Mus musculus: one gene and its partner. The protein of the gene in region 2 purifies or fractionates together with the protein of the main gene of each other region. This does not show direct contact. Links are inferred from orthologs where the notes say so. Each region holds a gene or a part of one and is shown on either strand. Other genes may lie near its edges. The genes, in order: Rnf146 and Tnks2.

Region 1 (3,949 bases), on a different chromosome or scaffold from region 2:
ACAATTAGGATTAATTTTAAGCCAGCCAAACTTTTTAAAGATCCACCGTCCCTAGATAATAAACTTGAATAAAATATTGTTTCTTTAAGGAAAAAAAAAGGCGAATCAAAGAAAAAAGATGAACATATCACAATAGAAATAAAAATATAAATGTCAAATTATATACAGTTGGACATTTTCTGCTTATCCTATTTAAAGTTAAGGTGTAATGAAATAAGAGTTACTCAAACAGAATACACTATATAGAAAACATATCAATAGGGGGACTACAAACCTTATTATGTGTATCTGTTTACTTACATATGTCTCTATTATAAACACAAGAAAAATGAGTAGGGGTCAGATGGGATTTAACAAACACATCTTAAAACTTCTTAAGAAAGATTCCCAAATTCACAAGTATGTAACTGTTACAATGTGTCAATTTTTATACTTCATCATCAAATCAGTTTTAAAAGTCTAAGTTAAGCTTGGAAATAAGTGTTCTGTCAAAACCCAGTTCAGTTAAGTGGGGTTCCATACTTTTGAGGGATCTTCTTGCCTTGTGTATGACTGCCCTTAAGAAGCCCCATCCTGTGACTCTATTTACTTTTGTCTCCGTCCTTATACTTAAGTGTAAGGCTTTAAATTCCTTCTCTGCAAAGTGGGCGTTGTATTGATTTCATTAACTCATGAGATACAAATGTCAATTTATATTTATATGTAATACATGTATTCTCATCTAACAGATGTTTCAGGCTGGCAGACATTCTATAAATAAGAAAGTCCTCTTATTAACTGGTGAGTGACCTTTGCCAAGTTATCCCTATGCTTTTGTTACTTTGCTCTAGCCAGCCTCTGTAATTGGACAACTCCAAACATTTTAATTAGCAGGCCTTTAACAACAGGCTTTGTATTAACTAACTAGAAAGGTAAATGAGAGTATACAAAGAAGCAAAGGAAGCTGTAGACTAGTGTAAACAGTGTGTATGCTCAAAAAGACTGTTTCTAATCCACCCAGCAGTTACCCAAGTTCAGACTCTGTGATCAAGAAGGCAACCAAGCAAGGAGGTAGAAAAGACTCGGATCTTCCATCTCTCATACTGATAGGGAAATGTGATAAGTCCTTCAAACTCATATATGGCTGACAGAAAATATGTTTTAAACAGATGGATATGAAAAATTCTTCCTATTATTTTCTTCTTCAAAGTCAAGGAATCATGTTGGATCCAAAAAATAAAACAAAACAAACCCTCCAACAGTTTCAAAGTGGCACTTTTACTAAATGGCATGTCTCCTACAAAAAAAAAAAAATCATTTATGTTTGCATTCCTGTTATCTAATGAACAGTTATTTGGGACATTTCCCCATGACTACAATTCGACTCAGTTCTTAAACAGCACAAAACAGAAACTTTCAAACGTTTAATAACAGGGTTTTCATTCTTTCCCCATTACACACGCCCAATTAAGACATAAATAAACTCTATGATATCCAAGACCCAAGCAAACATATCCAAAACTCCATCTTTACTGTAGCAGTTACTCTTGAGTTTTCTCTAAAATGAGATTTACTTCACCTATTTTCAAGTGTTTCTACAGCTCCCAGACGCTTTTCACGCTCTGCTAGTATGTGTGGGTCGTTTTCTTAATTTGTTCTTTAATATGCCATGTTCTTTAAAAGTCTAATGATACAGATCATTTATTGTTATGTTCTACGCATTCAACTTCTATGACAATACGTGCCTTTCAATGCCCAAGCTCCAGGTGCACATCTAGTTTGCAAAAGAACACACACACACACACACACACATACACAGATAAAATGTAGTTGTCAGAATGCGTGTGCTAACTTACAGTGGGGAAACATCTTACCTAATTATAGAGGACGGTTCCATTTCCACATCCTCAAAAACAATGTCACATAGCCCTTTCTCTTTAAAAAAAAAAAAAAAAAAAAGTCCAGAAAATAAGACAGTGACAACAATGGGGATCCCGTGCGCTCTCAGATGGGGTGGAGGGTTAAGGAGAAAACTCCACATCCAGCAAGCAGAACAAAGCGACTGCCGGAGCTCTCAAGATGCACCCGGCTTGGGAGGCCCAACTGGTATCCCGACACCTCAGGCTGGTTTCGGGTTTGGGGAGCCATCAAAACAAGAACGCTCGGCGGCTTCCGCCAGCGCGAGGAGGAGGGGACGACTCCGGGCACTGGGCAAGACCCAGAGGCACAGCCGCGGCGGCGGCGGCGGCGGCAGGGCAGGCGGAAGATAGCATGCAGCCCGTGGCCGACTGAGGCCCGGTCGAGCCCGCTGGAGCTGCCCGCAGCCTGGCCTGCCTGCGCAGTAATGGCCGGGGCCGCGCCCGTCACAGTCCGGGCTGCGCCAGCTCGGCCTCCCTCCGCGCGCCCGTCCGGGCCGCGCTGGCCAAGGGCGTCCCCGTCCTACCGGCCCCCGACCCGCCGCCGCCCGCCGCGGACTCCGAGCGCCGCCTCGCAGCCAACGAAGCCGCAGTGCCCCGCCGAGGCCCGCAGCCCACGGCCCCCCGCGCTCCTCACCGGTCCGGCCCGGAGCCCACCTCTCGGCCGCCGCCGCAGCCACCTCGCAGTCTTTTCTCCTCCGCTTCGGAGCCCGCAGCGGACGGGGACGCGCGCGGCCGTCACGTGACCGCCCGGCGCTCAAGGGGCGGGGCCGCGCCGGCGGAAGCCACGCCCCCTCACCGTGATCCCGCGCGCGGCGGCCCTGGCTGGCGGTCCCCACGCTGGCTGCTGCTCTTCTCTGTCCCTTGCTGCGACCGGGCTGCTCCTTGTCCCTGTTCCGGTCCTCCCTCACCCTCTGCGTGGCGCATCTTGTGGCCTCCTGGTTCTGAACTGGTGGAGGTCCATCTAGGTGGCTTGTGGGAGGAAGCTAGACCTTCAGTACCAGGAAGAAGAGCCTTTCCAAAACTCAGCCTTGGGTCAAGTCCTATGTTTCCTTTGGCCGTGCCCTTGGAGAGACTACCGCTTGTTCCTTATACAAAAAAGGCACAAGAAAAGTCACGGCGTGGACTGGATGGTCCCCGAGATGCTCCAATTTATTCACCTCACAAATGGCCAGATATGTAATGGGAGAGGGGGTGTGCTGGGGTGTCTTTTAAACCCTAACAGCATAGGAAGCTAGAAGAAGAAATCGTCCCGCGAATCTAGAATAAATTTCATGGGTTAGTTTTATGGCAAGCATATGGTGTTACACATCAAAATCTAGTCCTTGTTCATTTTAACCGGCACATGATCTTTTTCAGAACAGTTTTCTCTACTTGAAGTTGCACAAAATGGACCAGAGAACCTTTTCACCTTTGAAAGTATTTCCGCATTCTGTAACTGTTTGCATTGTGCTTGCAACAATGTTGCATTTTGAGGTTACATCCACTGTTTGAATTCAGGACTGAAAAATGTACTGTGCACCTATTTATAGGGTTTCAAGGCCACTGATCCAAAGGAAGAGCTCATCTGCTTAACATTAATAGCTGTAAATCCAGAGCATGGGTTCGGGTTATTCATTCAGTTGTTATAGGAAATATTATATGAACTTTTATAGCCTGAAGAGAAAAGGTTGTACATCAATGTACGTTGAAAGGGATAAGACATTGAATAGGTGAGTCGATGTGAGCAAGCATGTGGGTCTATTTCATAGGCTTCAGATGTTAAAATATTCTTAATTTCAAAGGGATCTAGCGGTAGGAGGCTGATTCACCTTACTTGAGGATCTGGGTTCAATCCCTAGTACCATTGAGGGAAGGGGTTGGGGGGATTAAAAATGTTGATGGAAGCTACTGGCTAGCTAGGTTTCAACAGTGCATACCAAACAGTAACAAAGATGTTAGGCCAGAAGATACAGGAATTTGTAGCAAATGGTTACTGTGGCAACTATGGGCTATGGGGGAGGAGGGACACAAATATATGTTCTTGTATGCAGCATTCTCCTGGACCACTGTTA
Region 2 (3,818 bases):
GGCAGAGGCAGGCAGATTTCTGGGTTCTAGCATAGCTAGGGCTACACAGAGAAATTCTCATCTCAAAATAAAAATTATTGAACAATATCAGTATACCATAAAGTAGATGTACTCTTTAAGTTAATGAACACTAAAGCTTACTTAGTGTGGTGTGGTTGTTATCTCCTACCATCAGGTTGTTCAGGCAAGGGGGGGGTCACTTAAGTGTGAAATTGAAAGGCTGATTTCAAAATTTCTATGTTCAATATGAAAAGAATCCATTTCAGCACAATATTTAGTGTGTGTGTGTGTGTGTGTGTACTAGAATAGCTTTATTTTTGTTACATTTTAGACATAAAGATTGTTCATACCAGCTATGGTTCTTGATTACATCTGTTATCCATATTTTGAGTCATTTTGTGGGGTTATTTGTTTGAGCCAATACTAAAACCAAAACACTCAGGTGTCCTGTTAGGGACCACTAGGGGGCTGCAGCACTCAGCACTAGAAATGTCCATTTTGACCATAGTGATGCTCCAAATGAGACCCCGCTTTCGTCTTTAAGTTTTCTCCTGACAAAAATGGGGACTGGGGGGGAAAGAGAGTAATAGGAAAGAAAAATGTGTGGTGGGTGGTTATTTCAAATTGTGTTTATGGTGTTTTGAGCTAGCTAGTCAGGAAAGCAGGGTGTTTGCTCTGTCTCATGCCTCATGCTTCTACAAAATTTATCATGGCTGAGGTGTTTCTGTAAAGACTTAGTGGTAACTTATATTTAACTTCCTATTTTAGGTAATTCTAAAATTGAAGTATTTCATGCAACTTTCATGTATTCGTGGCCTCTTTCCAGCCACGAGTATTGTTTCTCTTTGAAAGAAAAATGTGTGTATGAACTCAGACAGACACAAATTGCATGTACACAACCACATATAGGTGGAGGTCTAAGGACAACTTACGGCAGTTGGTTCTGATATTTGTTTGTTTGTCTGTTTGTTTATATTGGTAAGATAAAAGGCAATATTTCACTTTTCTGCTTTTTATAGATTCAGAAGGTTTGTAACAAGAAATTGTGGGAAAGATATACACACCGGAGAAAAGAAGTTTCTGAAGAAAACCACAACCATGCAAACGAAAGGATGTTATTTCATGGTAAGTTTTTCACACTGCCCTCTCTCTAAGAGTGTAGCTGATGTCCTCTTAATAAAGATAACATTTTTTTTTTAAAGATTTATTTATTTATTTATTATATGTAAGTACATTGTAGCTGTCTTCAGACACTCCAGAAGAGGGGGTCAGATCTTGTTACGGATGGTTGTGAGCCACCATGTGGTTGCTGGGATTTGAACTCTGCACCTTCGGAAGAGCAGTCGGGTGCTCTAACCCACTGAGCCATCTCACCAGCCCCAAAGATAACATTTTTGTAACTTGTACATTTGTGTTCATATCCTCGGTTTCTTTTGTGTTAATATACTTTATAATGAACATTTTTAATAAATTAAGATTACCTTTTTGGTGGCGAGTAAAACGGCTCAGTTTAGTAAAGGCCTTGCCACATGAACCTAATGACCTCTGAATTCCGTCCCCAAACTCTATGATGGAAGGAAAGAAGTAAGTTGTGAGATCACCAACTCTCACTTCACACTCCCCACACTGCTTCTCATGTGCCGTGTGGTGCAGTTTTGGCTAAGCCTCTGTTAGCAAGGACAGGAGAAGGGTCACTATTTGCCCTTGGAATCTCTTATAGCAGATAATGAAAGAGAAGAGGCACAAGGAGAAGAATAAGAGCATGGCAGGCTAGGCTGCTTGGGTACTTCTGACTGTCTAGGAAAGTGCACAGAGGTCAAGCACGGTTGAAGACCTGATGTCTCTTAGCCTCACTGGGTGCAGTGAACTGTGAAGCCCTTAGGGGTCGTGGGTTTTATGTATTTGACTCTGAAATGTGGTAACTTTTGCATTAGAATTTCAAATACTCTGTTGTTTTTCTAATTGAGTCTATCCTTTGGCATCTGAACCACCATCCTATTGGAATCGTTAATCAACATAAGGAATTCTTAGCTCTAAAAATAGCAAGCTCTAGGGTCTGTAGGGATGATTTAGAAGGAACAGAAAGAGCAAATATTGCTGCTGGAGAAGACTGCAGTTAAGTTTCCAAAGCCCGCATTGGGTGTTCAAACTGCCTGTGATTCTGGCTCTCAATGCACATACCACATGGACCTACAGAATTATGCATAGCTTTGTTGTTGGTAGTTTTTGTTTTTGTTTTGTTTTGTTTTTTTTTTAATTAAAAAATGGCAACCAGTTGATAATAGCACATGCCTTTAATCCTATCAATGAGAAGGCAGAGACAGGCAGAATCTATGAGTTTGAGGATAGCCAGGGCTACACAGAGAAACCCTGTCTACAGTTTTTTCTGGCAGTGATTCATGTTCAAGCATTTAACATCCATGGGCCCAGAGGTGATTCTGTGAGGTGCAGGCCTATCTGGTATGCATAGTTCCAAGACAGCCAAGGCTATGTAGAGAGTCTGTCTTAAAAACAAAGAATTTAGCATCCTGGGCTGGGTGTGTGGCTCAGTGCTTGACTGATGTGCACAAAGCTCTGTGTTTAATCCTAGTTCCTTAGAAAAGTTAACTTCTTAGACGGTTTAGTTTTTTCTGAATTGTTGTTGCCCATGTTTGTATTTTAGGGTCTCCTTTTGTGAATGCGATTATCCATAAGGGCTTTGATGAAAGGCATGCATACATAGGTGGCATGTTTGGAGCTGGAATTTATTTTGCTGAGAACTCTTCCAAAAGCAATCAATATGTGTATGGAATTGGAGGTGGCACCGGATGTCCAATTCACAAAGACAGATCGTGTTACATTTGTCACAGGTGAGAGATTACTTGGTACTTTCATAATTAGAACTAATTACATATTTGAGACATATGGAGGGCAAGGCATACCTGACAATTTGAGGGATACAGATTAAACTGTCTCTTCACAAGTTACAATAACAGCTAATATTTACCAAAGGATCTGAGTGGGCCAGCATGATTCTGAGCACTTGATTTGTTTAATTCAACTTCCTTTTGAATACTTGGTTCTCCATAGAGAATGCTAAGGAGAGCCAGGAGGATAGTGCACACACAACGGCTGGCTGAGCTGTGCTGTGCTGTGCTGTGCTGTGCTGTGCTGTGCTGTGCTGTGCTGTGCTGTGCTGTGCTGTGCTGTGTGTGCTGTGTGTGCTGTGCTGTGCTGTGCTGTGCTGTGCTGTGCTGTGCTGTGTGTGCTGTGCTGTGCTGTGCTGTGCTGTGCTGTGCTGTGCTGTGCTGACAGAAGAGGTGGGATGTGTAAGAGTTAAAGGGCCCGGCCAACTTGTGTTATTCTTACTACCATTATTTTCCCACTAAGCTTAGGCTTTCTGTATTATGTTAGGAATTCCCTTCTGGGTAGGAATTACTATCATTTCTATTTTGAGCCACAAATCTATACTATTTAGGAGGCTACAATGTTTCAAATTCTGTAAATTGAATACTTAAATTTTACTTGCCTTCTGTGGTTGAGATTATTAGTAATAAGCAGTGTTCTCAGCTGGGCGTGGTGGTGCACGCCTGTAATCCCAGCACTCAGGAGGCAGAGGCAGGTGGATTTCTGAGTTCGAGGCCAGCCTGGTCTAAAAAGTGAGTTTCAGGACAGCAGGGCTATACAGAGCAACCCTGTCTCAAAAAACCAAAAAACAAACAAACAAGCAGTGTTCTCATACTTCCCCTGAGCTGTTATTGGAATACAGTACTAGAAATATGTTGTCTAGAAATATGTTATTAACATAGAGCTTTGCTGTTCTGGGTTTCTGTGTCCAG

What was found.
Region 1: the proteins of Tnks2 (region 2) and Rnf146 purify together in Homo sapiens (co-immunoprecipitation; 3 studies listed by BioGRID and IntAct, with this or other methods). This does not show direct contact. The link is inferred for Mus musculus from reciprocal best matches to the Homo sapiens genes TNKS2 and RNF146.

What each region holds. Positions count from the first base shown.
Region 1 is NC_000076.6:29,359,432-29,363,380, forward strand, and holds the start of Rnf146 (E3 ubiquitin-protein ligase RNF146), read right to left. Parts: upstream 2,273-3,949; intron 2,239-2,272; coding exon of another isoform or gene 1,965-2,238; intron 1,915-1,964; 5' UTR 1,854-1,914; intron 1-1,853. Other genes in the region: Gm30698 (verprolin-like), read left to right, coding at 1,965-2,238, 2,273-3,078. UniProt on the Homo sapiens protein: E3 ubiquitin-protein ligase that specifically binds poly-ADP-ribosylated (PARsylated) proteins and mediates their ubiquitination and subsequent degradation. May regulate many important biological processes, such as cell survival and DNA damage response.
Region 2 is NC_000085.6:36,886,047-36,889,864, forward strand, and holds part of Tnks2 (poly [ADP-ribose] polymerase tankyrase-2), read left to right. Parts: intron 1-1,019; coding exon 1,020-1,125; intron 1,126-2,662; coding exon 2,663-2,849; intron 2,850-3,818. UniProt on the Homo sapiens protein: Poly-ADP-ribosyltransferase involved in various processes such as Wnt signaling pathway, telomere length and vesicle trafficking.